3 linked regions of the Anolis sagrei genome follow. The protein of the gene in region 2 interacts with the protein of the main gene of each other region in a pairwise test. Links are inferred from orthologs where the notes say so. Each region holds a gene or a part of one and is shown on either strand. Other genes may lie near its edges.

Region 1 (10,830 bases), on a different chromosome or scaffold from region 2:
ATTGTTGTTACTTTCCCACCTATTGATCTACTCACATTTGCATGTTTTTGAACTAAGTTGGCAGAAGGTGGGGCTAACAACAGGAACTCACCCCATCCCAGGATTTAAACCACCGACCTTTCAGTCAGCAAGTTCTGCAGCTTAGTGGTTAACCCGCTGCACCACAGCCATATAACCCAGAGATATTCTGGGTTATATGGCTGTGTGGAAGGGGCCTTTATGATTTATGTTCCTGGATTACACTGTGTAATTTTAAGACCAACAACTGCAGGTTTCTGAAGTTTACACTGCAAGTATTGGGAAAACCAAACACCACAGGCTTTTGGCTGCTCTGTTATCTACCAATTCAACTGATTTCTAATTCAAACTGGCTCAAACCGACTTCTAACTCAAACTTATTTAACTGACTTCTAACTGACTCCCAACAGATTTAAACACATTTTGAAATGGAGTCTCACTCATTTTAAGATCTGGGTCACATGGTCTGTAGTCCCGCCCACAACCTCTAGCAACATAGTTAAGGGGAAAACTGCATACCATTATATACAATATCGTAAGTAATCACAATTATATACATAACAAATAACTAGTATAGGAATCTTGTAGAAGGCTGCCATTTCCAACATTCAGCTTTAAGAAGCTAAAACCTTGGCTCTTCCGGTGTGCCTTTGGAGAATGACCACATATTCCTTTCCTGTTGTCTTCTCCCTCAAGTTGTCCTCATACTGCCCTTCCCCTCACCATTTTTAAGGCCTAACTCCACTGTTCCGCCCTCCATGCACTCCTCCCTTACAAATACATCTTTTTCATTGTCATTCATTCATTTATGTGTACATTTGGCTCGTCCATTGTGTATGTTTGTTACTGTATCCTGCACTGCTGTTTTGTTCTTATGTTCACTTATGTTATTGCCTTATTTTATTGTATTGTTATTTTTGTTGTTTTGTATTCATGTTATTGTAACTGTATTATCGGGCTTGGCCTCATGTAAGCTGGCCCGAGTCCCCTTTGGGGAGAGGGTGGCAGAATATAAATAGTTTATTATTATTATTATTATTATTATTATTATTTTTATTATACACACAGCCTCCAGTCTTCACTAAGAGCCCTTCCACTCAGGCATATAACCCAGAATATCAAGGCAGAAAATGCCTCAATATTGGCTTTGAACTGGGTTATGTAAGTTCACACAGCCATATATTCCAGTTCAAAGCAGAAAATGTGGGATTTTATTCAGCTGTGTGGAAGGGACCTAACACACACCATATAGGAACAATCTATATAAATAAAAATGTAATGTTCGTTTGTGGGATTAACGTAACTCAAAAGCCACTGGACGAATTGACACCAAATTTGGACATAATACACCAATCAGGCCAACAAGTGACCATCACTGAAAAACACAGCAGAAGGGACTTTAAAAGCCAAAAAATAAAAAATACATGACAACGCATGTGCAAAACCACATATATATGTACACAAACACACATATTTATTTATTTCCAGTATTTCTATCCCATTCCTTCTCAAATCCCAAAGAGGGCCTCAGGACGGCTTACATTTGGTACAATTTGATGCCATTAAATATAACAAAGCAATATAGCAACAATTAAAACAATAAATAGCACATTAATTGAAACAATAAAAACAGTATTAACCACCATATCACCATTCCAGTCAAATTCCATATCCAGAGTGCTATTTATGTCTGCTGTCCAAAAAGCCTGGTTCCAGAACCACGACTTCAATTTCTTCCTAAAAGACAGGAGGGATGAAGCCGATCTCACCTCATTGGGAAGCAAATTCCATAGGCAGGGGGGCTACAGCTGAAAGGCTCTGTCTCTCGTCTCCGCCAGATGTATTTGCGACGCTGGCGGGAGTGAGAGCAGGGTCTCCCCGGATGATCTTAAACTGCAAGAGGGGACGTAGAGAGAGATGCGTTCAGACAAGTAAGCTGGGCCAGAACCGTATAGAGCTTTATAGGTCAAAACCAGCACTTTGAATTGAGTTCGGAAGTGGATTGGCAGCCAGTGGAGCTGACACAAGGGGGTTGTGTATGTCCCTGTATGTCGCTCCAGTTAGTAATCTGGCTGCAGCCTGTTGGACTAGTTTAAGTTTCCGAACAGTATTCAAAGGCAGCCCCACCGTAGAGTGTGTTGCAGTAATCTATTCAGGATGTAACAAGAGTGTGGATGACCGACCGTGGCCAGATCAGACTTCCCAAGGTACGGGTGCAGATGGCACGCAAGCTTTAACTATGCAAAAGCTCCCCTGGACATCGCCGAAACCTGGGGTTTCAGGCTCAACGATGGATCCAGGATCACTCCCAAGCTGTATATAAACAAATATATATACACAAGACACATATACACAGACTAAAGTGCCAAGAGGAAGGCGCATAAAGCCAATCCCAACTGGGACCGCTTTGCACCTGGAAACCGATGCCCTCACTGCGGGAGAAGATGCAGATCAAGAATAGGGTTCCACAGCCACCTACGGACCCACCCTCAGGATACTACTCTTGGAGGACCATCATCCTCGGACTATGAGGGATCGCCTAAGTAAGTAAAAGTATACATTGACTGGGCCATAGCAACTCATGGCAAGGGACAGCTCGTCATGACTAAGATTAATTGAAAGCCCCCTTATGGGTGCATCTACACTGCAGAATTAATTAATTAATTATTATTATTTATTTGCTTTATTTCTATACTGCGTTTTTCAGCCTAAATAGGCGACTCAATGCGGTTTACACAATGCAGGTTATCACAACAATAAACAGTTAAAAACACATCATACACAACAACAAAATCAACAATTATTATCAATTCATGACGCCTTAATCCAAACTTAATGCAGTTTGGAACCCTTTTAACTCAATGCTATGGGATCCTGAGGGTCCTAGTTTGTGTAGTTCTCTTAGGCAAAGAAGGAGAAAGGCTAAAGTAGGCCAAACTAGTATAATACTACAGTGACGGGCCTGGACAAGCTTTAGCCTTCCAGGCGTTTTGGACTTCAACTCCCACAATTCCTAACAGCCTACCGGCTGTTAGGAATTGTGGGAGTTGAAGTCCAAAATGCCTGGAAGGCCGAAGCTTGCCCAGGCCTGGCTGTCGCTCCACCCTTTGTCCTATACAAGAGAGGCGAAGAAGCCGGGAAGCGCCGAGTAGAGGCCCGTCACTATGGCGACCCGCTTCCGCTATTGGGGCCGCTCTGGCCACCGCGCATCGCTGGTTTTTGCCGGGTCTTCCAGCCCCGCCCCCCTTTTCCCCGGGCTCGAGCCCCGCCGCGAGGGAGCTGCGGAAACCCTTTCACTGCTGCTGTTGCTGCTGCTGCTTTGCATCGTGTTCAGCGTTTGGGGTGAGTAAGTGAGGGGCCCGGGGCGCGCGCTCCCTGGAAAGCAAAGCCTGGGATCCCTCTGTTGTTCAGAGCAGAAGGAAGAAAGCAAGCAAGCATTTAAGCATTTGTTGCTGGGCTTGGTCCAAGGGGCCGAGTTGAGGGGTAGAAGCAATGCAATTCCTGCAAGAGGCCTTGGCCTGGCCGTGGGGGGGGGGGGGGATATTTAGATACTTTAAATATATATATTTACTCTATTGGAGACTTTTTTGTGGGAGTGGGATTGTAAAGTGGTCTCTTCTTGCAAAACATTGCCTTCTTTTTCCTAAATGTTCCAAGTTTGGAAACTTAACTTTGTTTGGGGGATTCATCTACACTGAAGAGTTAATGCAGTTTCACCCCACTTTAACGGCTATGGAGTCCTGGGTGTTGTCGCTTCACATAGTCTTAGAAAACTACAGATCTCAAGATCCCATACGGTGGTGCCAAAACGCATTAATTATCCAGTGTAGATGCAACGATAGTGGGGATAACTCGTTGTTTGAAATGTAACTTTTCAGGACTTCCAAAGTTCCTGCATTTGCAGCAGGCGAACGGGATTCTGGTCCGCACAGGCATCATGCCTTAATATGGCGTTTTCCAACCGCTGTAAGAGCGTGGGACTGACTACAATTCCCATCATCCTCCCCTCCCTCCTAGATTAGAGCATCAGAAGGAGCCCTTGTTCAGCAAACATCTCATGTTGTGGATCTGTTAATTCTGGGGGTTCCTCTCTGGCCCCTTCCACATCTGAATAAAACCCCACATTATCAGCTTTGAACTGGAATACATGGCAGTGTGGACTCAGATAACCCAGTTCAAAGCGGCCACAGGAGAGGGTCCATCCACACAACCATATAACCCAGGATATCAAAGCAGCAAATCCCACAGTATCTGCTTTGAACTGGAATACATGGCAGTGTGGACTCAGATAACCCAGTTCAAAGCAGATATTGTGGGATTTTCTGCTTTGATATTCTGGGTTATGTGGTTGTGTGAATGGGCCCCTTGAGCTGTTCTTGTGCAGCAGGCTAAAAATGTTGGCAGGATATTCAGATAAGCAGTCATGCCTTTCTAAAGTGGACCAAATACTATAAGGGCATTATTCAGTAGGGCCCCATGTCTATTGCCTTCTAATGCAGTATGCATCATATGGTCAGTGTTGACTCATCTCATGCAGTTAAAGTTCATTAGATGAGTCTTCACGCTATGTGACAGTTTCAAACTGCATTACATAGCGGTGTCGCTGGAGCCTCGGTCCCCATTTTTGTCTTCAAATAGGAAGGTAAACAGTAATGGCCTTATAAAGTGGATGAAATATTATAAAGGTCTCCGTTGGATCCTCGTTTTGGTCTTCAAATATGTAGATCAGCAATAATAATAGTAGTAGTAATAAAAATAATAATAGCAGGATTGCAGAGAAACAACTGGAAAACACGATAGGAGGATTTAAACATTGAACTGCAAAGACTCTGGCACAAACCAGTAAAGGTGGTCTCAGTGGTGATGGGCACACTGGGTGCAGTGCCTAAAGACCTTGGCTTGCACTTAAACACAATCGGCGCTGACAACATTACCATCTGCCAGCTGCAGAAGGCCACCTTACTGGGATCTGCACGCATTATTCGCCGATACATCACACAGTCCTAGACACTTGGGAAGTGTCCGACTTGTGATCCAATACAACAGCCAGCAGAGTGTTTGCTATGGACTCATCTTGTTGTGTTTCTAATAATAATAATAATAATAATAATTCAGACAGAGTTCTGGAGCACAACACTCCTGACTTCACGATCGTGTTAAAAAACAAAGTGTGGATTGTCAATGTTGCAATCCCAGGTGACATCAGGATTGAAGAGAAACAACTGGAAAAGCTGACATGATATGAGGATTTAAAGACCGAACTGCAAAGACTCTGGCACAAACCAGTAAAGGTGGTCTCAGTGGTGATTGGCACACTGGGTGCAGTGCCTAAAGACCTTGGCCTGCACTTAAACACAATCATCGCTGACAAGATTACCATCTGCCAGCTGCAGAAGGCCACCTTACTGGGATCTGCAGGCATTATTCGCTGATACATTACACAGCCCTAGACACTTGGGAAGTGTCCAACGTGTGATCCAATACAGCAGCCAGCAGAGTGTTTGCTGTGGACTCATCTTGTGTTTCTAATAATAATAATAATAATAATAATAATAATAATGCAGACAGACAGAGTTCTGGAGCACAACACTCCCGACTTTACGATCGTGTTAAAAAACAAAGTGTGGATTGTCAATGTTGCAATCCCAGGTGACAGCAGAATTAACGAGAAACAACTGGAAAAGCTGACACAAAATGAGGATTCAAAGATCGAACTGCAAAGACTCTGGCACAAACCAGTCAAGGTGGTCCCAGTGGTGATTGGCACACTGAGTGCAGTGCCTAAAGACCTTGGCCTGCACTTAAACACAATCGGCGCTGACAAAATTACCATCTGCCAGCTGCAAAAGGCCACTTTACTGGGATCTGCACACATCATTCGCCGATACATCACACAGTCCTAGACACTTGGGAAGTGTCCGACGTGTGATCCAGTGCAACAACCAGCAGAGTGATCTTGTCTGCTGTGAACTCATATTGTTCTGTTTCTAATAATAATAATAATAATAATAATAATAATAATAATAATTATAATGTTTATTTATACCTCGATTTATCTCTCCCAAAGGAGCCCCCGCTGGAGCAATGGGTTAAAGCGCTGAACTGAACTTGCTGATTGAAAGGTTGGCGGTTCTAATCCGGGAAGTGAGCTCCTGCTGGTAGCCCCAGCTTCTGCCAATCTAGCAATTCAAAAACATGCAAATGTGAGTAGATCAATAGGTACTGCTTCTGCAGGAAGGTAACAGTGCTCCATGCAGTCATGCCAGCCATATGGCCTTGGAGGTGTCTACAGACAACGCTGGCTCTATGGCTTAGAAATGGAGATGAGCACCACCCCCCAGAGTCAGACTTAATGTCAAGGGGAAATCTTTACCTGATCTCCCCAAAGGAGACTGAAAGCAGCTTACGTTAATAATGCCCCCTAAAAGTTGACTTTTTCTCCTGTTATTTAGCTTATCCAGGTAAACACCTTTTCCCAATACTTTGGTATCTTAGGATATAATTCTATAAGGTCTTTATTAAGTAGATTCTCATTTTTGCTGTCATATTAGGAGAAGTAGCAAGGTAATGCCGGCTCTTTGGGTTAGAAATGGAGATGAGCACCAACCTCCAGAGTTGGACACAACTGAACTTAATGTGGGGGGAAACCTTTGCCTTAGCAAAGTAAAGGTAAAGTCTAGTCATGTCCGACGCTGGGAGGTAGTGTTCATCTTCATTTCTAAGCCAAAGAGCTGGCGGTGTCGTTAGACGCCTCCAAGGTCATGTGGCCAGCATGACCGCAAGGAGTGCCGTTACCTTCCCTCAGAAGCAGTACCTATTGATCTACTCACATTTTCATGTTTTAAACTGCTAGGTTGGCAGAAGCTGGAGCAGACAGCAGGAGCTCACCCTGCTCCCTGGATTCGAACCACCTACCTTTTGGTCAGCAAGTTCAGCAGCTCAACGGTTTAACCCGCTGCACCACCAGGAGACCCCAGAAGTAGTAATGTTCCCCTAAGTAGACTTTTTCTCCTATTATGCTATGTAACACAATTTTTGTTCCTGGGTTATAAATGTCATTTTCTAATTGGTTCTATCATGAAAACGTTTATTAAACTGCAAAAACTTTAGTTTTGCGGGACATTCTCCAGCACATTTTGCAATAGTTTTTCAATGAATATCTCAGTGTCAACTAATTCAACAAAAACGAAGTTTGTGGAGTAGAACAACTACTTTCAAAGTAAGTTGCACAGAATTATACAGGAAATAACATTTTCAAACCAGGAACATTTTTTTTTCAAATTTTGTTACATAGTCTTAGGCCCCTTCCACACAGCTGAATAAAATTCCACATTTTCAGCTTTGAACTGGAATATATGACAGTGTGGACTCACAGAACCCAGTTCAAAGCTGATATGGGATTTTCCGCCTTGCTATTCTGGATTATATGAAAGGGCCCTTATTGATCTTAATCAGATTAATCCCTCTTCCCACAACTTTAATAATATAATATGGTATATATTACTTTCCTAAAGAAGTATTCTGTCATGTAAGGAATAGTAATTTCTTTATTATTCGCTTTCATATGGGCTCCTGTGCCCCTAACTCTAGCAAATGTGACAAGTCTGGCTGTATATGCTAAAATAGATATTCCAAAATCTGAAAGAAATCCCAAACTTAGTGTCCCAAGCATTTTGGGTAACACTGGCTAACAGACATTTGGGTGCCCCAGACGTTAGACTTGTTTCTGGGTATATTTGACCTGCTGATTCCAAAAATGGCACCAATTTTCCCCATAGTTTTTGAGATGGAATCTATGTCTATTAGTTGCCATCTGCTCACCCATAGAAAATAACAATGACCATTTCTTGAAACTGGAACTGTTGTAGTCTGTCCAGTGCAATTTTCTGAATGGGCTCTCTAAATAACCCCAGGAACAGGCTTAAAAACCAAGACCACAGAGGGTTTTTATTATTATTGTTGGACTGTGTGATGGTTACTCAACAATGATTCCACTTTAACTGCCATGGTAATCTCTTATCGAATCCTGGAATTGGCCTTTACAATCCTCAGCCTTGGATCTCTAGCACCTTCCTAATCTGTAAATCCCATGCCAGTTAGTAGAATTGTAGTGCTGTAATTTTCTAGTATGGAAAGGATCCTGGCCAGTTTGGTTTATTGGCGCTGAGAAGAATTACTCTGAAGTTATTGACATCTTTTGTCAAAGTTGGGTACAAATGATTCAGGGTGACACTCTTGTACCCAAGATTCTTTATCCCCCTCATTTCCTGTGCTTGCTAGTCCTTGTCATGACTTGTCCCCAAATATTGAAGGGGTGTGGAGAAGCACACACACTCCCATTCCTTTTGATTGTGATCATGACACAGCGTCCCTTTCCAGGCAACATAAGTGTGCATGCTCAACCTCGAGTGGGGAGAAGAGTGGGATTGTGGCAGAGGACCAGGTTTACATATGCTCACCCAAATGTTACTGAGCATTAGTTGCACATATGCAGACTGTGTGCCTGTAGAAGTTCTTTGTGTCAGTATGTGTACACTTGTTTATCCTCACTTCTGTGTCTTGTGAACTTGGGGAGGGTTGCAGTTGCCGTCCTGGTTTTTTTTGCCTGTGTTTCTTTTCGCATTAAAGATACATATCCTATATACGTATGTCTAGAAAATTTAGTCAAGAAATCAACCCAAAAAACTTGGGTTGACTTATCTGTGGGTCGGTGTGAGTACTGTACCTTATTTCTCATCAAGGAAGGAACCCTCTCTTTCTTTGAGTAGAGTGACAAAAGAAAAAGACTTAGTCCGACATGGGAGAACCCAAAGGAAGCACTGACTCAATATATTTTCTACATTGCAGTGTCACTTAGGACCTTTTTGAATGCATTTTCCCCTCTCCACGCAATAGCTCTTGACTTATCCACAGGTCATACCAAAATCTACAATTCTGTAGGCTTAGGGCATTATTGGTTGTTATATATATAATTTTATTTATTTACTTTGCTTATATACCGCTGTTCTCAGCCCGGAGGCGACTCACAGCGGTGTACAACATAGGAGCAACAAAATTCAAGACACAGTATAAAAACAATTCACAATCCAGCAATTATACAAAAACATCGTCATTACTACGAAAACCATTCAGCCATTCAACCATTCACACCATCAGGCCTGTAGCCAGGATTTTGTTTCGGGGGGGGGCTAAAAAAAATTTCGGGGGGGGGGGGGTTCGGGGGGGGTGAGTTTTGGGGGGGGCTGAGTCTGAGTGAAAGAGGGTCTAGCCTAGCAAACCTTTTGTATCATTACCCCAATACCCCCATGCATATGGGATATATTGAGTATGGTGATCAGATCATGATATGAATAAACATAACAGTTTAAATAATGCACCAATAAGGCCTTTTCGCGAAAACCATGAAAATTTCGGGGGGGGCTGAAGCCCCCCGAGCCCCCCCCCCTGGCTACATGCCTGCACACTATTCAACCATATATATGGCATTTCTTCTAATGCTTTTTTAGTAAATGGCCATAATTCCATCTGGGCCAGATGCTTTATTATTATCTAATTTCTTTATTGCCTTTTATACAGGATGCAGCAGCATAACTTCCTTTTTCAAAACTTAATAAAACCCATTGTATGAATCCGAATTTTTTTTTCTAATGTAGGCGCATCCCTAAAGTTTTGTTTTACGTTGTTTTGAAGATCAAATTAGGTAGGTGACGTCCCCCATTCTCCAAACACTGAGTAAACCGATTTCTGGCGTTAGTCATGACTCTTGCCAGCATAGCAGGAGTTATGTTGGCAATTTCTTCCTGGGTGTTGGTCTTCAAATCTTGTAGGGTCCTTGGACGGTTCACATAAACACGGGATTTCAAAAAACCCCATAGAAAATAATCACAAGGGGCCAAATCTGGAGAGCGGGCCGGCCACTCCAAATCCGCTCGAAATAGGCCTCACCGGCAAAAGCACGCTCCTCGCTGTTCCAATGCATAATGGCGACTGAACTGTGTCAGGACAAAACTTTATATTCCCGCCTCTCAAACGAGACCACTAGCGCTCCGCCTACCTCTTTAACCGACTGAATGGCGTGCATTTTAAAAAAGGAAGTTATGCTACCTCACCGTGTAATACTTTTTTTAGTAAATGGCCATAATTCTATCTGGGCCAGGTGCTTTATTATTATCTAATTTCTTTATTGCCTTTTATATTTCTTCCTCCGTTATTTCTTTGTTGATTATTTCTCTTTGTTCTTCCATAATTTTTGTCAGGTTTTGTTTTCCTAAATATTGTATTATATCTACTTTCTTTATTCTTTGGGATATAGTTTTTATAATATTTATTGAACTGATTTATAATATTCTGGTCTATTGTATATACTTTGTCATCATTCACAATTTTAGTAATATGTTGTTTTTGTTTTTTCTGCCATATTCTTCTTGCAAACCATTTCCCCAGTTTATTTGCACTTTGGAAGTGTTGCTGGTTTACAAATTTTAACTTTTTTGGCTAGTTCTGTTTCTAAATAATTTCTCTGCTTCCTAAGTATCTCTAAATCAAATTTGCTATTTTGATCTGATGGATTCTTTTTTAGTTTGGATTCTGCGATAGCTATTGCATCTAGCACTTTCTTTACTTCTTTATTGCGGTTTATATTTCTTACTGCATTTTGTTGAATAAAATGATCACTCATCACAGCTTTGCTTGCATTCCATACTATTTGTATTGGAGTTTCCAGCATTGCATTGATATCAGAAAACTCTTTTAGGATTTTCTGGTATTTTTTAATTTGTTACTCAGATTTTAATAAATTGTTGTTTAGTCTCC
Region 2 (10,830 bases):
CATTTGTGGGATTAACATAACTCAAAAACCACTGGATGAATTGACACCAAATTTGTACACCAAATTAGGTTCCGAAGCCCCAATTATAATATTATAATGTTATACAATATAATACTAATAATATAATTTTTTCCCATTTATCATGTCATCATAATATAATATAATAATATAATATAATATAGTTATATATTTTATATTGCATGTAATATTACTAATAATATTGCAGTATAATAGCTATATAATACTAATATTGTGCTACGGTAATATAATAATATAAGTGTCATAAATAAATCTATATAAATAAAAATGTAATGTTAGTTTGTGGGATTAAAATAACTCAAAAACCACTGGATGAATTGACACCAAATTTGGACACCAAATTAGGTTCAGAAGCCCCAATTATAATATTATAATGTTATACAATATAATACTAATAATATAATATAGTATATTATAGGATGTGGAGGGATACTTGTGGGATGTGGGATGTCCCGAGGATGTGGACAAGATACTTGGAGGAATGAGAGCTACCACATGCATCCTAGACCCCTGCCCATCCTGGCTTCTAAAGGAGGCCAGAGGGGGATTGGCCGAGTGGGTGGAGGTGGTGGTTAATGCCTCCCTTCGGGAAGGCAATATTCCAGCCAGCTTAAAACAAGCTGTAATAAAACCGCTGTTGAAAAAACCATCACTAGACCCCACTCAATTCGTCAACTATCGGCCTGTTTCCAATCTTCCCTTTTTGAGCAAAGTCCTGGAACGTGTGGTGGCCTCACAACTCCAGGTATTCTTGGTAGACACTGATTATCTGGATCCGGCACAGTCTGGCTTTAGGCCGGGACATGGTACCGAGACAGCCCTGGTCGCCTTAGTGGATGATCTCCGCAGAGAGCTCGACAGGGGGAGTGTGTCCCTGTTGGTCCTGCTGGATCTCTCAGCGGCCTTCGATACCGTCGACCACGGTATCCTTCTGGGACGCCTCGCGGGAATGGGCCTTGGTGGCACTGTTTTACAGTGGCTCGGGTCCTTCCTAGAGGGTCGTACCCAGAAGGTGTTGATGGGGGACAGCTGCTCGTCCTCACAACCTTTGTCTTGTGGGGTCCCGCAGGGTTCAATACTGTCCCCCATGTTGTTTAACATCTACATGAAGCCGTTGGGAGAGATCATCCGGAGTTTCGGGGTGCGGTGTTATCTGTACGCAGATGATGTCCAACTCTGTCACTCCTTTCCACCTACTTCTAAGGAGGCTGTTCAGGTCCTGAACCGGTGCTTGGCTGCTGTGTCGGACTGGATGAGGGTGAACAAATTGAAGTTGAATCCAGACAAGACAGAGGCACTCCTGGTCAGTCGAAAGGCCGAACGGGGCATAGGGTTACAGCCTGTGTTGGACGGGGTTACACTCCCCCTGAAGACGCAGGTTCGCAGCTTGGGTGTGACCCTGGATTCATCGCTGAGCCTGGAGCCTCAGGTCTCAGCGGTGGCCAGGGGAGCATTTGCACAGCTTCGGCTCGTGCGCCAGCTGCGCCCGTACCTCGGGAAGTCGGACTTGGCCACGGTAGTCCACGCTCTGGTCACATCCCGCATAGATTACTGCAACGCGCTCTACGTGGGGCTGCCCTTGAAGACTGCCCGGAAGCTCCAGATGGTCCAGCGCTCGGCAGCCAGGTTGCTAACAGGAGCAGCTCTCAGGGAGCATACCACTCCTCTGTTGAGCCAGCTCCACTGGCTGCCAATTCCCTACCGGGCACAATTCAAGGTGCTGGCATTAGCCTACAAAGCCCTAAACGGTTCCGGCCCCACCTACCTCTCCGAACGCATCTCCTCCTATGAACCGACACGGACATTAAGATCGTCCGGGGAGGCCCTGCTCTCGGTTCCGCCTGCGTCACAGGCACGGTTGGCGGGAACGAGAGACAGGGCCTTCTCGGTGGTGGCCCCTCGGTTATGGAATGCCCTACCAAGCGACATCAGACAGGCCCCTTCGTTGCTGGCATTTAGGAAGAAGCTCAAAACCTGGCTTTTTGAGCAAGCGTTTGGCTAATCAGCGCAATTGTACACAGAATGACGGTAAACTGAACATAGGAACGGTATAAGGATATGAGACTGGATCTTGGTTGCGATCGAGGCACTGTATGAATGGTTGTGTGTTTGTTATTGGGTATGCTGTGTTTTAATTGTTATTGTTGTGGTAATTAATATTGTGTAAACCGCATTGAGTCACCTATTATAGGTTGAGAAACGCGGTATAGAAATAAAGCAAATAAATAAATAAATAAATATATTACAGAATCTGGCTACCAGTATTAAAAAACTCTAAAATTACAACAGCAAAACAGCAGAGAGGAAACAACCAGGCACATCTTAACACCTCTCAACAGAACATTTTCCCAGGCTCAGCTAGGCCTTCAAATGATAATGAAGGTGGTCAGCTGAAACATTCACACCTAGCTCCAGCAGAGAAGAGCTCTTTGCCCCACCCCAGCCATTCCACAAATATATAAACCCATTTTCCTATTTCCAACAGACCTCACTACTTCTAAGGATGCTTGCCATAGATGCAGGCGAAACGTCAGGAGAAATGCCTCTAGAACATGGCCCTATAGCTAATATATTACTGAAGACTGCCCGGAAGCTGCAATTAGTCCAACGCTCGGCAGCCAGACTACTAACGGGTGCTGGGTACAGGGAGCATACCATTCCGCTGTTACACCAGCTCCACTGGCTGCCAATTAGCTTCTGAGCACAATTCAAAGCCCTAATCAACTCTGGCCCTATTTACCTCTCCGAACGTATTCTCCCCTATCAAGATTATTAAGATCGTCTGGAGAGGCCCTGTTCTCGGTCCCACCGGCCTCGCAAGCACGTCTGGTGGGGACGAGGGACAGGATCTTCTCGGTGGTGGCCCCTCGACTCTGGAACTCCCTTCCACTGGAGATCAGAACTGCCCTTTTGATCTTAACGTTCAGGAAAAAGGTGAAAACCTGGCTTTGGGGATTGGCATTCAACGAATGAACCATGATCCTGTGACATGGATGGATGACGACGAATGACTTTGATGACGACTGACCACTGTAATCATATGATTGTATTTTTGCCATTTTAATTGTTTCAATGTTTTAATGTTTTTAGTGTGATTTAGAAATATGATGTTTTAATGACGGTCTGTAATATTGGTGTTGGAAACCGGCCCGAGTCCCTCGAATGGAGGTGAGAAGACCGGTATAGAAAACTACCAAATAAATAAATAAATTTAAAGCTTGAGACCTGTTCATCTTGGAGGAGGTGGGGTTCGCAGATTCTTTTTGCACGCTCTGCCAAGGCTTTAATGGTGCTTCTTTTTTGACTTGGATGATGGTTGGAATTTTTATGTAGATATCTATCTGTGTGTGTGGGTTTTCTGTAAACGGTGTGACCCAATTGTTGACCTGGTTTGCGGATGACTAGGACATCGAGAAAAGGCAGTCTTCCTTCATTTTCTTTTTCCAACAGACCTCAACACCTCTGAGGATGCTTGCCATAGATGCAGGCGAAACGTCAGGAGAGAATGCCTCTAGACCATGGCCATACAGCCCGAAAAAACCTACAACAACCCAGTGATTCCAGCCATGACAGCTTTCGACAATAGAGTAATATTACATTTGATACAAAATATATAATTATAATATCCTATTATTATTAGTAGCATTATATTGTATTACATTATAATATTACAAATATTATATATATATATATATATATATATATATTATTAGCACAGTAAAGGTAAAGGTAGTCCCCTGACATTAAGTCCAGTCATGTCTGACTCTGGGGTGTGGTGGTCATCTCCATTTCTAAGCCGAAGAGCCAGTGTTGTCCGTAGACACCTCCATGGTCATGTGTCTGGCATGACTGCATGGAGCGCCGTTACCTTCCCGCCGGAGCGGTACCTATTGATCTACTCACATTTGCATGTTTTCGAACTGCTAGGTTGGCAGAAGCTAGGGCTGACAGCGGAAGCTCACGCTACTCCCCGGAATCGAACCTGCAACCTTTCGATCAACAAGCTCAGCAGCTCAGTGTTTTAACCCACTGCGCCACCATTAGCACAGTACAATATCAATATTACATATTACTATATTGCATTATACCATTATATTGTAATATTATTAGTAATATTACATGTGATACAAAATATATAGTTATAATATCCTATCATTAGTAGTAGTATTATATTGTATTGCATTATAATAGGATATCTAGTTGTGGGATTCAATATTTCCCTTTTCTTTCCCTCAAGCCAGGCCTTGCTCCAGCCATTAGGCCTCACTGCCTCCCTCCTCTTCCAATCCTCTTCCTTTCTTTCCCCTGAAGACCCCCCAAATCCAAACCCTTTCCCCCCAAAAAACCACTCACCTTTTCCCCCCTCTGAGGGAAAACCAAGAGGCGGAATTATTTTCCCTGGAACCAATGAAGCGGGGGGAGGGGGGGCTTGGGAAAGGACCGGAAACCCATTCAACCTGCTTCCGGGTGGGAACACAACCCGACGGGCTCTTTAAGCATCATGCGCATGCGCGGCTAGGAGAAGGGGGAAAAAGCGAACTCAATGTCCGTTTAGTTACTACGCCTGCGCCCCAGCATCAGTTGCTTAGTGCGCGTGCGCAAGCAGCGGCATGCCTTCAGCTCGGCTAAGGAAGGAACAGGGCGCTCTCTCTCTCCGACTCGGCTGCCTCGTAGTGCGCATGCGCATTGTTCGAGAGCTCTCTCGCTTTATCAGTTGCTTAGTGCGCATGCGCAAGGAGAGGCTTGCATTCAGCTCGGCTAAGGAAGCAACAGGGCGCTCTCTCTCCGACTCGGCTGCCTCGTAGTACGCATGCGCATTGTTCGAGCTCTCGCTTTCATCAGTTGCTTAGTGCGCATGCGCAAGCAGCGACATGCATTCAGCTCGGCTAAGGAAGCAACAGGGCGCTCTCTCTCCGACTCCGCTGCCTCGTAGTACGCATGCGCATTGTTCTAGCCCTCTCTTTAAAGGGCCAGTACATCCATTTTAGTGCGCATGCGGAAATAGCGGCATGCATTCAGCTCGGCTAAGGAAGCAACAGGGCGCTCTCTCTCCGACTCCGCTGCCTCGTAGTACGCATGCGCATTGTTCGAGGCTTCTCTATTTAAAGGGCCAGTAGATCCATTTTAGTGCGCATGCGGAAATAGCGGCATGCATTCAGCTCGGCTAAGGAAGCAACAAGGCGCTCTCTCTCTCCGACTCGGACGCCGCGTAGTACGCATGCGCATTGCATTTAAAGGGCCAGTAGATCCATTTTTAAACTGATTCTCAAAAATTGAATTGTTTTCTTGCTTTGCTTTCAAAGCATTAAAGGAAAGCATGGATTTTTTTTCCCGAGCAAAATGCAACCCTGTGCCTAGGCTTAAATAATATATAGTTGTCAATAAATACTATAATAATATATACTATATTATACACTTTAATACTATATACTATGTATTATATATATAATATGAAATAAAACAATATAATGCTATATACTATAATATATAGTATACACCATATATATAATATATTATATAATAATAATATATATAATTATATATTATATAGAATATATAATATACTATATAATATACTATATATATATGTATTATAATATATATATGTGTGTGTGTGTGTATATGTATATGTGTATGTGTATATATATATATAATATAATATACACCAGAAGCGACTTGCAGTTCCTCAAGTCGCTCTGGACACGACAAAAAATACACACACACACATATATATATATATTATATAATAAATACTCAGATGCAACCACAAGAAAACCGTATATAGATAGAAAGGATTAGCTACTTGCCGATAGATATGCATGCATGCAGAGCTCAAATGCAAACACAAGATGGCAGTAAAAAGATAGAAAGGATTAGTTACTGGACTATTATTATTATTTATTATTATTATTTCACAGTTTTGTATACCGAGCTTCTCAACCTCGTTGAGGGACTCAGCCCGGTTTACATAGATATATAGATATTTATGCATGCAGTACTCAGATGCAACCAAAAGAAGGCAGTATATAGCTAGAAAGGATTAGCTACTGGCCGATAGATATGTTTACATGCAATGCTCAGATGCAACCACAAGAAGGAGGTGTATAGATAGAAAGGATTAGCTACTGGCCAATAGATACGTATGCATGCAGAGCTCAAATGCAACCACAAGACGACAGTATATAGATAGAAAGGATTAGCTACTGGCCAATAGATACGTATGCATGCAGAGCTCAAATGCAACCACAAGACGACAGTATATAGATAGAAAGGATTAGCTACTGGCCAATAGATACGTATGCATGCAGAGCTCAAATGCAACCACAAGACGACAGTATATAGATAGAAAGGATTAGCTACTGGCTGATAGATATGTATGTATGCAGTAATCAGATGCAACCACAAGAGAGCAGCACATAGATAGAAAGGATTAGCTACTGTCCGATAGACACCACAAGAGATATATAGATAGAAAGGATTAGCTACTGGCCGATAGATATGAGTGCAGTGTTCAAATGCAGTGTTCAAATGCAACTACAAGACAGCAATCTAGAGATAGAAAGGATTAGTTACTGGCCTATAGATATTTATGCATGCATGCATGCAATACTCAGATGCAACCAAAAGAAGGCAGTATATAGCTAGAAAGGATTAGCTACTGGCCAATAGATATGTTTACATGCAATGCTCAGATGCAACCACAAGAAGGAGGTATATAGATAGAAAGGATTAGCTACTGGCCGATAGATACGTATGCATGCAGAGCTCAAATGCAACCACAAGACGACAGTATATAGATAGAAAGGATTAGCTACTGGCTGGTAGATATGTATGCATGCAGTACTCAGATGCAACCACAAGAGAGCAACACATAGATAGAAAGGATTTGCTACTTGCCGATAGATAAGCATGTATGCAGTGCTCAGATGCAACCACAAGTGGCTATTACACTGCTAGAAAGGATTAGCTATTGGCCGATAGATATTTATGCATGTAACCTAATGGTCTAGTTTACATGTCAGTCGAATTGCTCCTCTTCCCAAGTGGAGGTCGGGATGGCCGTATACGGATCCACAATCAGCTTTGCGCAGCGCACCATCATGATGAGGAGGAAGAAGCACATCAGGGAGAGGAAGCCGACGCAGATGCCTTTGTCCACGTCCACAAAGGTCTCGGCAGTGGGGTCCTCCATGGGTCTAATTGAGGGTGGTCTTCTTACCCAGGAAGGGGTCTTCCCCTCATCTGTAGGGGCAGAAACGTGGGAATGGCGGGTTCCGGAAAACATTACTCATTTGAACTCGAACTCCCGCCATGAGACCCCCTTACAACACATCTACACCCTGTGGAATGAATCCATCTTGACCCCACTTGAACCTCCATGGCTCAATACTATGGAATAATGGGATTGGTAGTTTGGTGAGGCACCAGGTTACATAGTTCACCCGGACAAGGTGAATGGAACACAGTCGCCAAGGCTTGGCGCTTACCTGCCTTGTCTGCGGGAAAGGATCTGCCAGCGTTTCGCTCTTGCCCCGGTGCCAAAATGGGTCTCTGCCATTCGGTTGTTCAGCTCTGCTCTTCTGTCACCGAAAGCATTCTCATGAATACTTCACAAGGTGCGGGTGCGTCAGGTTTCACCCAGGACAGGGAAGGAGAGTGGAAGGATCCCTCCCAGGTTGGACTGCGTAGCTGTCGTCGCCCAGATCATATTCCCATTTGTTAATCTATCTATTCATCAATCCACCTATCCATCTATTTATCCATCCCTTCTCTCTATCCATGTATCCATCCAACCATCTATCTATCCATCCATCCATCCAACCACCCATCCATCTATCCATCCACCCATCTATCAATATAGCAGTCTATCCATCTATCATCCATCCATTGATCTATCAATCTATTCATCCATCCATCCCTCTATCTATCCATCTAACTCTCCATCTATCTATCTATACATCCATCCATCAATATAGCAGTCTACCCATCTATCTATCTATCTATCTATCTATCTATTTATTTACAGTTCTTATATTCCGCCCTTCTCACTCCGCAGGGGACTCAGGACGGATTACAGTAAACACATATATGGCAAACATTCAATGCCAGTTTGACAAACAACATTTAACAGACAAAAGCTATTTAACTTCTTTTTTTTTCTGGCCGCCAGGGGAGCTGCTGCTTTTCATCGTCCATCAACGACACCGATGAAGTTCTTTCCATCCATCTATCCATCCACCCATCCATCCATCCATCCATCCATCCATCCATCCATCCATCAATCTATTCATCCATCTATCTATCTAACTATCTATCCATCAATCTATCCATCTATTCATCTATCTATCTATCTATCCATCCATCCATCCATTTATCCATCTAGCTATCCATCTATCTATACATCCATCCATCTATCCATCCACTCATCCATCTATCCATCCACCCATCTATCAATATATCAGTCTATCCATCCATCCATCTTTCTATCCATCTATCCATCTATTCATCCATCTATGTATCCATCCATTCATCGATCAATATATCTATCCATCCATCCGTCCATCCATCCAACAATGTATCCATCCATCCATCCATCCATCCACCCATCCACCCATCTATCAATCTATCAGTCTATCCATCCATCTATCAATCAGTGTACCCATCCATCCATCCATCCATCCATCAGTCTATCTATCCATCCATCCATTTCCATTGACGCTGGATGATGGGAGTTATGGTTCACTCCGCACCCAGCGAGCCCTGTGACTCCCATTGCTGGCGGATCTGGACCAAACTTGGCACACAGATGATGGAAGTAGTAGTAGTAGTAGTACACCCTTTGCCACCCCCTGGTGGTCACATTGAGCATTGCTCCCTCTGGGTATTCTGACCCTCCATTGAAATCTCAGGGGCACCATTTGCCCAGGACTCCTATGTGCAATCCTTTGCCGCCCTCCAGAGGATGCATCAAGCATTGCACCTTCTTGATATTCTGCCCCTCCATTCAAACCCTTGGTGCATCTTTCTTCCTTCCTTGTTTCCTTCCAGCTTCCCTTCCTTCCTGTAAATAAATAAATAATATATAATAATATATTAGTAATATTTATTTATACTAATATTATAAGTATATATATATATATAATATAATATATAATAATATAATATATATATAATTAATTATATATATAATATATAATGATATAATGATATAATAATGTAATATATAATATTATAATTATATATACATAATATAATTATGTAATTATTCATAATAATTGATAATAATATATAATGATAAAATAATGAAATATATAATATTATATATATATATATATAATTATGTAACAATCCATAATATATGATAATATATAATTATATAATAATGTAATATATAATATATATAATGATATAATAATAATCCATAATATATGATAATAATATATAATGATGTAATAATGAAATATATAATATTATAATTAAATATATATTATATATAATTATGTAATAATTCATAATAATTGATAATAATATATAATGATATAATAATGTAATATATAATATATATAATGATATAATAATAATCCATAATATATGATAATACTATATAATGATATAATAATGAAATATATAATATTATAATTATATATATAATATATAATTATGTGATAATCCATAATATATGATTATAATGATATAATGATGTAATATTTAATATTATAATTATATATATAATATATAATTATGTGATAATCCATAATATATAATAATAGTATATAATAATATAATAATGTGATATATATTATATATATAATATAATTATGCAATAATCCATAATATATGATAATATATAATGATATAATAATGTAATATAATATATATATAATTATATAATAATAATCCATAATATATGATAAAATAGAATGATATAATAAGGTAATATTTAATATTATAATCATATATATAATATATTGTTATGTAATATATAATATTATAATTATGTAATAATCCATCATATATTATAATAATATAGAATGATATAATAATGTAATATATAATATTATAATTATATATAAAATTATGTAATAATCCATAATATGATAATAATATAATATATATTATAATTATATATATAATATTATTATGTAATAATCCATCATATATGATAATAATATATAATGATAATAGTGTTGTATTATGTATTTTAAGTTGTATTGCTTTAGATTTGCAGAGAGAAAGCGGGATATAAATAAATAAACAAATCCATTCCCGGACGCCCCTCCCCCTTTTCCCGCTGCACCAATGGGAGAGCTATTCGCCTCTCTGTCCCCGCCCCTTCGGCGTCAGAGCTCAGAATAGGAAGCGCGCACGGGAGGCCACGCCCAGTTGGTTTCGTTGCACCAATCAGAGTACTCAATTGCTCGCCCCGCCCCCTGCTGGGGTTCGCCCCGCAGTGGGAGCGCCCGCCATCTTGGAGGCGAGAAGGGAGCAGCGGGGCAGAGCGGGAGGGCGCCTCCTCCTCCTCCTCCTCGGGTCGCCATGGCAACCACTACTGCTAGCCAAGGTGGGTTGAGGCCTAGTGGGCCTCGCGTTGTGGCGCCACTCCAAGGAAGGCCGCGTCTTGGAAATAGGGAAAGGAAAAGGAAAAGGGGGTTTAGGGGCATGCTGGGAGAGGACAACATGGAGGCAGGCCCAGGGGATTCTGGGAGGAGTGGGTCCAAAAGAAAAGGAAGGAAAGGGAGGTCAAGAGAGTCAAATGGGGAGAATTTGGGGGGAAAGAGGAGGGTGGCTTTT
Region 3 (10,830 bases), on a different chromosome or scaffold from region 2:
CATAGTGATGGAAGATGAATCTTCCATCATTTACAGTTATTATTCACTGACTATGTCTAACACTAATAAAAAAAAAACCTCTAACAATATAAAACAATAACAGTATTTCAGCAGACAGGATGAAAAAGCTTGTACCTATAGGCAGGTTTACAACTGACTGGCTGACTGTAGGTAGGATCCTGTCATTTATATGAAAATAACTAACTTTGGAGAACCTTCAAAATGTATCTGAAAGGCACTGGACTGCATACTCCAGAACTGGTTGGCATACCTCCATCCCAGATTAGGTCCCTTGATGGCAAGCACCTATGTCTTGTTTGGATTCAATTTCACCTTCAATTGAAGGTTGGTATTTTGTACCTTTCAAGCCTAAGCAAGCACTACTAACTTCATCTGTCAATCTGCATAGGTCCTCGCCTCTCCCAGCCTCCTCCTCACTTATCTCAGTAATGTTCAATTAGAAATCCACGACACCCCAACCCCAAAACAGTGAATTAGATTATGGTTGCTGTGGTTATGTGGTTGCTGGTAATGGTGATCACAGGGCCCCCAGAGATGCGTCTGCACGGCTTTCTGCTGTTCCTTGCTCTGCTGGCCAAAAGTGAGGTCAAAGATCCTCCAATGGCCTAACCAGAAATCCCAGAACTTTTAGACACTCTGTGCTGGAGTTCTGTTGTTTTGATCTACAGACCTCTGGCACAGTGTCTACACTACACTACAAGAAGTATTTCATCCTTGGCAAGGATGCAACATCCTCCTTGGCATGCGGCCCCATACTTCTCTGTATGCGACGACATGTCATAGAAAATGGCTATACGTGTCAGTGCTAACACATGTGTCATAGGTTCGCCATCATGGGACTAGGCAATTCCCTGGATAGCTGGACCTTGTTGGGACCTTTAAAAAGTGTCCTCAAGCACTTTATGATTGTTATACTCAAAACCTTAATGGTAAATTGTTCTTATCCTCATAGTTGCTATATAATATTTGCACTTTATGCATTAGTTCTATTCTTTAAAGTTGTGGCACCAGTCCACCCACACTTGTGGGCCTATCTAGGTCCTCCAGTGTGATTATATGGTATGTGTCACTCCAAGTATAGTCAAAATATAGGGTTCGCTATTATCCACACTTTCAGGTATCTGCGAGTGAGTCTTGGAACATGTATCCCATGGATATAAGGGTTGTACTACACAGAGTGAATATTATCTCACATCATTTCAATGACTAGGAGCCTCCAGTGGCTCCTTAACAATGAGTTAAACCCTTGTGCCGGCAGGACTGCGGACTGAAAGGTTTGTAGTTCATTATCCGGGAAGCAGGGTGAGCTCCCATCTGTAAGTTCCAGCTTCTCATGCGGGGACATGAGAGAAGCCTCCCACAGGATGGTTAAACATCTGGAGGACTCCTGGGCAACGTCCTTGTAGACGGCCAATTCTCTCACACAAGAAATGACTTGGAACTTCTCAAGTCACTCGTGACATGAAAAAAAATTCAATGACTGAGTGGCTAGATACCAAGGTACCATTCACATCAACAGGCATCACTTTAGGTCTCTGTCATGCTGGCAGGCACCTGCATAAGTAAACCGGGTCCATTTTTAAAAAAAACATTCAGTTTGAGGCAATACAAACATTACATCTCTGATGAGTCAATCACACTTGGCAGATCACTTCATGCAATAGTTTCCAAGAGACAATTATGCAAGCACAAATCCATCACTCTTCACCTTCTCCATGATAAATCTTCTATGTGCATGGCCGTTTGGTATTGAATTCAGCACTGACAATAACAGATAGTACGTATTCATCCAGAAAATACTTCCCTAAATCAATGTGCTTCAACCTTCTAGTATCCTAGGCACTTTCCCAAATGTAAACTGAGGCAAACATCACTAACACATTACCAGCTAGATTAGGACATAACAGACCAACAATTCAAGGGACAGTTAATTTTGCATTTCTATTGCAGGAGCAATTGAGAGCTGAAAACATCTGGCACTCCATATCCACAGATACTAATGTTCCTTCAAAACCTTTTCCCCCCAAAAGCAAATCTTGATCTTGCCATTTTATATAAGGGACACCATGTTGCTACACCATTGTATATAATGGGACTTGAGTATCCACAGATGTTGATGCCCACAAAATGTCTGGAATCAAACCCAGCAGATACCAAGGGCCTACTGAACTACAATGATACACAAAAAAATCAGATTCCCCAACATAAGACATAAAAGGTACTGGAAGGGGCCAAGGCCAGAGCAACAATTAAAAGTGTATTTATACTATATTATTACGGCAGTTTGCTACTGCTTTAACTCATCATGACTCAATTGTATGTAATCATAGGAGTTATAGTTTTACAAGACTGTTAGCTATGTGTAGCACTCTGCCAAAGAGTGCTGGTGCGTCATTGTTGTTTATTCGTTCAGTCACTTCCGACTCTTCATGACCTCATAGACCAGTCCACGCCAGAGCTCCCTGTCAGCCATCACCACCCCCAGCTCCTTCAGAGTCAAGCCAGTCACTTCAAGGATCCCATCCATCCATCTTGCCCTTGGTCAGCTCCTCTTCCTTTTACCTTCCATTTTCCCCAGCATAACTGTCTTCTCCAAGCTTTCCTATCTTCTCATGATGTGGCCAAAGTACTGGTGCCTCACCAAACTACAAATCTTATTACGTAATGTGGTGTCATTACATCTACAGTGTAGAGCCAGCTTAGGACAAAGACAGACCAAACAACTCCCATGGTTGAGGAAAAGGCTGACTAAGAGTGCATCTCAGACTGCATAATTAATGCAGCTTAGCCACTTTAACTGCCATGGCTCAGGAATCAGCCAATCTGTACTTTGGCAAGGCAACAGCACTCTTTGGCTAGGAAGGCACAACACCTTGTCAAATGACAACTCCCAGGATTCCTCAAAATTGAGCCACGACAATGAAAATGATGGTCAAACTGCATTAACTGTACAGCACCCTTGGTCTCATTTCTAAGGGCCAAAACCCATCTGGCCTGTACAGTGTCCCAGGATCAGAACTGGGAATTGCTGGCTAAAGAGAATGTCACCCAAAGAGGTGACTGAAACACTCAGATAATGGTCTTATTATTATTATTATTATTATTATTATTATTATTATTATGTTTAATGTATCATTGAAGGCTTTCATGGCTGGAATCGCTGGGTGCTATGGTTTCCAGGCAGTATGGCCCTGTTCTAGCAGCATTTTCTCCTGACATTTCACCTGCATCTGTGGCTGTTATCCTTTGAAGATGCCTGCCACAGATGCAGGTGAAACGTCAGGAGAAAGCGAACATGAGAATACAGGCCGAAAACCACACAACACCCCATTATTACAATTATTATTGTTGTTGTTGACACAAAAGCACAGTATGTCACAGCAAATTAGATCTATATGCTGGATTTCATATCACAAAATCACAAGTCGAACACTTCCCAAGTGTCTAGGACTGTGTGATGTACTTTCGAATGATGTGTGCAGATCCAAGTAAGGTGGCCTTTTGCAGTTGACAGATCGTGATTTTGTCAATGTTTATTGTTTCCAAATGCCGGCTGAGATCTTTTGGCACAGCACCCAGTGTGCCAATGACCACTGGGACTACCTGTACTGGTTTATGCCAGAGGCTTTGCAGTTCGATTTTGAGGTCTTGATAGCGGCTGAGTTTTTCCTGTTGTTTTTCCTCAATGTGACTGTCACTTGGTATGGCGACATCAATAATCTTTTTTCTTTTCCACAATCATGATGTCTGGCGTGTTGTGTTCCAAAACTTTGTCCGTCTGGATTCGAAAGTCCCACAGTATTTTTGCATGTTCATTTTCCATGACCTTTGCGGGTTTATGATTCCACCAATTCTTTGCTGCTGGCAGGTGGTTCTTGTGACATAAGTTCCAGTGAATTATTATTATTGCCCCGCTTTTTCTCTACACAAGGAGACTCAGGCCCCTCTACACAGCCATATAAAATCCAGATTATCTGCTTTGAACTAGATTAGGTAGCAGCATAGACTGATAGAATCCAGTTCAAAACAGATTATGTGGATTATCTGCTTTGATAATCTGAATTATATGGCAGTGTAGAAGGGGCCTCAAAGTGGCAGATCAACCCAGTTTGCAGCTGTCATGCCCCCTTCACCAGTAATGAACCATCAAGCTGAGCCCTGATTGAGAAGGAGTGAAATCCCAACCATAGATCCCTTTCCACAATATCACAGAATTTCCATATTATTATTTGAAAATACAACAAGATGAGTCCACAGCAGACACTCTGCTGGCTGTTGTATTGGATCAGATGCCGGACACTTCCCAAGTGTCTAGGACTGTGTGATGCATCGGCGAATAATGTGTGCAGATCCCAGTAAGGTGGCCTTCTGCAGCTGGCAGATGTTAATTTTGTCAGTGCCGATTGTGTCTAAGTGCAGGCCAAGGTCTTTAGGCACTGCACCCAGTGTGCCGATCACCACTGGGACCACCTTGACTGGCTTGTGCCAGAGTCTTTGCAGTTTGATCTTTAAATACTCATATTGTGTCAGCTTTTCCCTGTTGTTTCTCTGCAATCCTGCTGTCACCTGGGACTGTGACATCGACGATCCATACTTTGTTTTTTAACATGATTGTGAAGTCAGGAGTATTATGCTCCAAAATTATTATTATTATTATTATTATTATTACATTCTATTTGAGTCCCCTTCGGGCAGACCCGTAGCCAGGATTTTGTTTCGGGGGGAGCTGAGTTTGATTGGGGGGGGGGGCTGAGTCTGAGTGAGAGAGGGTCTACCTTAGCAAACCTTTTGTATCGTTATCCCAATACCCCCATGCATATGGGATATATTGAGCATGGTGATCAGGTCATGATATGAATAAACATAACAGTTTAAATGATGTACCAGTAAGGCCACCATGAGACTTTCGGGGGGGGGGGGGGCTACATGCCTGCCTTCGGGTTTAACATAAAAACGTTAGCACAGCATTCTAAATATACAAATATTTAAACAGAATTAAATATAAACAGTACTAAAAGGTTCAGTTAAAACTATCCAGTAAAGACTTTCTGTATATATTTCAGATTTCAATATTAATGTCAAATATATGTAGTATGATTTTACATGTTACATTTGGCTCTCTGTTTCACACTCTATTCCTCTGACTTATATTATATTATGTAATATTAATATTCATGAACAAAAAGATTATGTTGCAATATGGTAGCAGCAGAAAGAATCATAGAATCAAAGAGTTGGAAGAGACCTCATGAGCCATCCAGGCCAAGAAGCAGAACTATTGCATTCAAATCACCCCTGACAGATAGCCATCCAGCCTCTGTTTAAAAGCTTCCAAAGAAGGAGCCTCCACCAGAAAGGAAGACCAAATGTTATGGAGAGAACAACTTGCAAGGAAACATTCCTAGTGCCACTGGTCTGACTACGAAATCGTAGAGTGGGAAGAGACCCCAAGGGCCATTCAGTCCAACCCTCTTCTGCCAAGTAGGAAACATACAATCAAAGCAGCCCTGGCAGATGGTCATCCAGCCTCAAGAGAAGAAGGCTCCACCATATGCAGCATGTGCTAAACAGAGATGTTGAGGTGGGTCTCTTTGAATCCCTGGCGCCCTGGTCTCCAGAGGAGCAGAAAACAAGCTGGCCCCCTCCTCAGTGTGGCACCCTTTCAGGAAAAGACCCATCTGTCCCTCCCTCCTCGAGGGCGCCATAGTGGCTGCTTGCCTCACTCAGGATGCCGCCTGACTCACCAGCCTCTCCGTCTCTTGCTTCCTTCCTTCCTTCCGCACTGCGCCTTCTCCTCCTCCTCCTCTTCCAGGAAACCGGGCTCCGGAAGGGCCCTGCCAACCCCCTCCGCCTGCTCCTGCAGCAGGGACTTCGCCAAGGCACCAGGGAGGAACACCCCCTCGACGCAAACAACAACACCCTTCCCGGAAGCGGAAGTGACGAAGATGACGGTAAGACCCAAGGCCCCTGACGTCAGCATGCTCCCCAGCACGTGGCCGGGGGAGGCGCGCGGAGGACAGGCGGGAAGTGCTTCTTCTAGAATCATAGAATAGAATCAAAGAGTTGGAAGAGACCTCATGGGCCATTCAGGCCAAGAAGCAGGAATATTGCATTCAAATCACCCCGATAGATGGCCATCCAGCCTCTGTTTAAAAGCTTCCAAAGAAGGAGCCTCCACCACACTCCGGGCAGAGAGTTCCACTGCTGAACGGCTCTCACAGTCAGGAAGTTCTTCCTAATGTTCAGATGGAATCTCCTCTCTTATCGTTTGAAGCCATTGTTCCATTGCATCCTAGTCTCCAGGGCAGCAGAAAACAAGCTTGCTCCCTCCTCCCTGTGGCTTCCTCTCACATATTTATACATGGCTATCATATCTCCTCTCAGCCTTCTCTTCTTCAGGCTAAACATGCCCCGCTCCTTAAGCCACTCCTCATAGGGCTTGTTCTCCAGACCCTTGATCATTTTAGTCGCCCTCCTCTGGACACATTCCAGCTTGTCAATCTCTCTCTTCAATTGTGGTGCCCAGAATTGGGCACAATATTCCAGTTGTGGTCTAACCAAAGCGGAATAGAGGGGTAGCATGACTTCCCTAGATCTAGACACTATGCTCCTATTGATGCAGGCCAAAATCCCATTGGCTTTTTTTGCCGCCACATCACATTGTTGGCTCATGTTTAACTTGTAGTCCACGAGGACTCCAAGATCTTTTTCACACGTACTGCTCTCGAGCCAGGCATCCCCCATTCTGTATCTTTGCATTTCGTTTTTCCTGCCAAAGTGGAGTATCTTGCATTTGTCACTGTTGAACTTCATTTTGTTAGTTTTGGCCCATCTCTCTAATCTGTCAAGATCATTTTGAATAGATTGCAGCATGAATGCACCGCCAGGGTTCAAGGCTGTGGAGTCCTGAGATCTGTCATCGGATAGGTTCTGTATCCGCCTCTGCCCCACCAAAGTGCAGCAAGAACATTCAAGAATGGATTGCTGTGAGTGTTCAGAGCTGTATGGCCATGTTCCAGAAGCATTCTCTCCTGACGCTTTGCCCACATCTATGGCAGGCATCCTCAGAGGTTGTGAGGTCTGTTGGTAACGAAGCAAGTGATGTCCAGGGTGGGAGAGAGAACTCTTGAGGCAAGTGTGAATGTTGCAATGGGCCACCTTGATTAGCATTTAATGTCCTTGCAGCTTTAAAGCCTGGCTAGTTGCTGCCTGGGGGAATTTTTTGTTGGGAGGTGTTAGCTGACCCTGATTGACTCTTACCTGGAATTCACCTGCTTTTTGGGTATTGCTCTTTATTTGTTGTTCATTCGTTCAGTCGCTTCCAACTCTTCGTGACCTCATGGATCAGCCCACACCAGAGCTCCCTGTCAGCCGTCACCACCCCCAGCTTCTTACTTAACTCAAATTATATTTTCTAGCTTGTGTTGATGTAAATTTTGCAATAACTTCAGTAAAATCAACTTGCTTAGCTAAATCATCTTCGATGCACAAAATTTCTAAAAGAGTACATTGCTCTTGACTAGTTGTGCCTATTTGCCTTGTTTGCAAGTCTGCTGAATGACCTTTCTGTTGCAATTAAAGCCATATATTGGCAAATATGTTGTTGTTGTTCATTCGTTCAGTTGTTTCTAACTCTTCGTGACCTCATGGACCAGCCCACACCAGAGCTCCCTGTCGGCCGTCACCACCCCCAGCTCCTTCAAGGTCAAGCCAGTCACTTCTAGGATGCCATCCATCCATCTTGCCCTTGGTCGGCCCCTCTTCCTTTTTCCTTCCATTTTCCCCAGCATCATTGTCTTCTCCAAGCTTTCCTGTCTTCTCATTATGTACTTCATCTTTTCCTCCAATATCCTTCCCTCCAATGAGCAGTCAGACTTTATTTCCTGGAGTATGGTTGGATCTTCTGGTGGTCCAAGGCACTCTCAGAACTTTCCTCCAGCACCACAGTTCAAAAGCATCTATCTTCCTTTGCTCAGCCTTCCCTATGGTCGAGCTCTCACATCCGTAATTTACTACAGGGAATACCATTACTTTTATTTACTGTCCTGATTTTAGAGGGTTTTTTAAATACTGGCGGCCAGATTTTATTTTCATGGTTTCTTCCTTTCTGTTGAGATTGTCCACATGCTTCTTGTGAATCTCAGTGCCTTTTCTGTGTAGTCTGACATGGTGGCTGTGAGAGTGGTCCAGCATTCTGTGTTCTCCAATAATATGCTGTGTCCAGGTTGGTTCATCAGGTGCTCTGCTACGGCTGATTTCTCAGGTCAAGACAACACAAATTCAACAATTCAGCAAAAGACAAGAGGGGTCCTCTAACCACTGCAGGAGTCTACGATACACCATGCAATTGTGGACAAGTCTACATAGGGACCACCAAACACAGCAATGCCCAGACACAAATCAGAGCATGAAAAGCACTGCAGACTTAGGCCCCTTCTACGCAGCTGAATAAAATCCCACATTTTTTGCTTTGAACTGGGATCTATCACAGTGTGGACTCAGATAACCCAATTCAAAGCAGACATTGTGGGATTTTCTGCCTTGATATTCTGGGTTATATGGCTGCATGGAAGGGCCCTTAGGCCCCTTCCACACAGCTGAATAAAATCCCACATTTTCTGCTTTGGATTGGGATATATGGCAGTGTGGACTCAGGGTCCTTCTGATACTGAGCACCAACCACCACACACATCCCCGACCCCGGCTGATCAAATATGCAAATAATCATCAGAGGAGTGGAGAAGGGCAGCAACAACTGACAAGCACCCTAGATACACTGTCTTCCCCCTCTATTACAAAGTAGCCTCTTTAATAAACATACACTTCAATGTGTTCCCCTTATAACTGATTCTTTGTATCCTTTTGGCCTCCTGTGTCTTTTGCCTCTTGCAGCTGGCCCCAGTAACTGTGCATAGCCTTCCGCATAGTTGAATAAAATCTCACATTTTCTGCTTTGAACTGGATTATATGGCAGTGTGGACTCAGATAACCCAGTCCAAGGCAGACATTCTAGGATTTTCTGCCTTGATATTCTGGGTTATATGGATGTGTGGAAGGGCCCTGAGTTAGGAGTAAAGATAAAGAATAGCAGCTATTTAAACAGTAATCCAATGTCATTTGATGCTGGCCCATAATATAAAACGCACATACAGAGAGAGAATGAGACAGAAGGTTGAGAGATATTTTTATTAGCCTCTTTTCTGCCTCCTGGCAACAGCACACAATGGGATGAGAGATTTGTAACCCATCTGGTTCCTTTGCCCTGATTTAACAGCATATTTAACCCCTCAGTTCCATGACTCTTAGCTGACAGCAGCTACATGGAAAGGCAACAGTGCTTAATGTTTACACGCGTCTTTCCTTCAATGCAGCATCAAAAATCTAATCAAAATTCTGCTTCAGGAAGCAGGGATTGTCCTAAGCCAGTATGAGCCGAAACATTCCTTTCACCTTGGCAAGTTGGCAGAAGAAGCCACTGACTTCCCTAACTGCCAGTCTTCCAGCCCTTAAACCATGGGAATATTTTAGAAAAAAAGGGACCACAGCTAACAGCCACTGGCAAGGGTTTTATGGTCAAAGACAGCTTAGATTCTACAGGAGCAAAGAAGAGGAGCTCAGAGGCAAAAGCTACACCAGACTGTTTTAATGAAAAAAGAGATTAAGAAAAATCATTTTTAAAAAAAGATTCTGGTTCAATTGGCACTGAATTGGGAAGCTCTTGTCCATAGGCTCAACAGCACCTACAAAGAAAAGAGATGGGTGTTAAGGACAGGAAAATGATACAAATCTTTGACAAGAATGAGGGAACATGAGATCTCAATGTTGTTAAGAATGCAAATCCAACCAGCCCTCCACAGTACGCCTACGGTAAATGCTGCTGGGAGCCCAGTATCTGAAGTAATCTCTACCCTTGTCTTGCCTTAGTGTTAGCCAGAGATTTAAGCTGACACTCTTCTACAGGGAAAAATTGTGCTATTTCAAGGCACTTCATTTAATGTCTTCCTCAGAAGCAAGTTCCCCAATCCTCTTGTCTTAAGTGAGACCAGTGAGAGGAAAACACACAACTGTTCTCCAAATAATGTATGAGCACCAATGCTTCCTATGTAAGGAAAGAGTATATCCCAACACCCCACAGTAACTGATATAGCCCCCAGCTGAGACTCTATGTGTCCAATAGAGACTCTACATCTCCATCTCAGATATGCATCTACCCCCACCCTCCAGGCTTAGCTAACCAAGCAACTTAGCACTGAATCCTCTTTATCAATCCAATGGCAGCAGGTGCTATTACCTTTCGCTTACTAGCTCAGCGATCAGTGGTTGTACGCAAGTCTGTGGTCAGTGGATCATGCTGGATTGTCTGGTGCAGCATGAGAGCAAGAAGCCCAGCTCGGTTGGTCATGGCCATCCGTACATTTCGTTCCTGTTCAAACAGCTCGTCCAGCTTGTACCACTGCAAAAGCAAGAGGAGCAGATTACAGCCCATCCCTAGTGGAAGGATTCACACCACTGCTACGATTTCTCGAGCCAAAAACCTATTTCATACACTGTTGATGGGCTCATTATAACCCTTTGACAACCAGACACATATGTGAAGTTTGCTGATCCATACCACGCGTACTCTCTCCAAGTCCACCTCAGCCCGGCGCAGCTTCTCCCAGCAGTAGTGTCGATTGCATTTCCGTTTGGGCACACGGCAGAACTCCCCAGTGAGCTCAAATACGTCTTTTACCATGGGGCAACCACATACCTCATCTGCTGACACCTGGGGGAAGATCAGTCAAGAGTGAACAGTCTGAAATCAGGGAT

Evidence for each region.
Region 1: the proteins of SETDB1 (region 2) and CDK4 interact in a two-hybrid assay, tested with the Homo sapiens proteins (2 studies listed by BioGRID and IntAct). The link is inferred for Anolis sagrei from reciprocal best matches to the Homo sapiens genes SETDB1 and CDK4.
Region 3: the proteins of SETDB1 (region 2) and methyl-CpG-binding domain protein 1 interact in binary tests that used the Homo sapiens proteins (3 or more experiments, as listed by UniProt). The link is inferred for Anolis sagrei from reciprocal best matches to the Homo sapiens genes SETDB1 and MBD1.

The regions. Positions count from the first base shown.
Region 1 is NC_090022.1:191,404,607-191,415,436, reverse strand, and holds the start of CDK4 (cyclin-dependent kinase 4), read left to right. Parts: upstream 1-3,243; 5' UTR 3,244-3,360; intron 3,361-10,830.
Region 2 is NC_090032.1:5,039,199-5,050,028, reverse strand, and holds the start of SETDB1 (histone-lysine N-methyltransferase SETDB1), read right to left. Parts: upstream 4,930-10,830; 5' UTR 4,393-4,929; intron 1-4,392. Other genes in the region: ARNT (aryl hydrocarbon receptor nuclear translocator), read left to right, coding at 10,576-10,600. UniProt on the Homo sapiens protein: Histone methyltransferase that specifically trimethylates 'Lys-9' of histone H3. H3 'Lys-9' trimethylation represents a specific tag for epigenetic transcriptional repression by recruiting HP1 (CBX1, CBX3 and/or CBX5) proteins to methylated histones.
Region 3 is NC_090022.1:193,768,392-193,779,221, reverse strand, and holds the start of methyl-CpG-binding domain protein 1, read right to left. Parts: upstream 5,851-10,830; 5' UTR 5,766-5,850; intron 1-5,765. Other genes in the region: CXXC1 (CXXC-type zinc finger protein 1), read right to left, coding at 10,328-10,474, 10,634-10,786. UniProt on the Homo sapiens protein: Transcriptional repressor that binds CpG islands in promoters where the DNA is methylated at position 5 of cytosine within CpG dinucleotides. Binding is abolished by the presence of 7-mG that is produced by DNA damage by methylmethanesulfonate (MMS).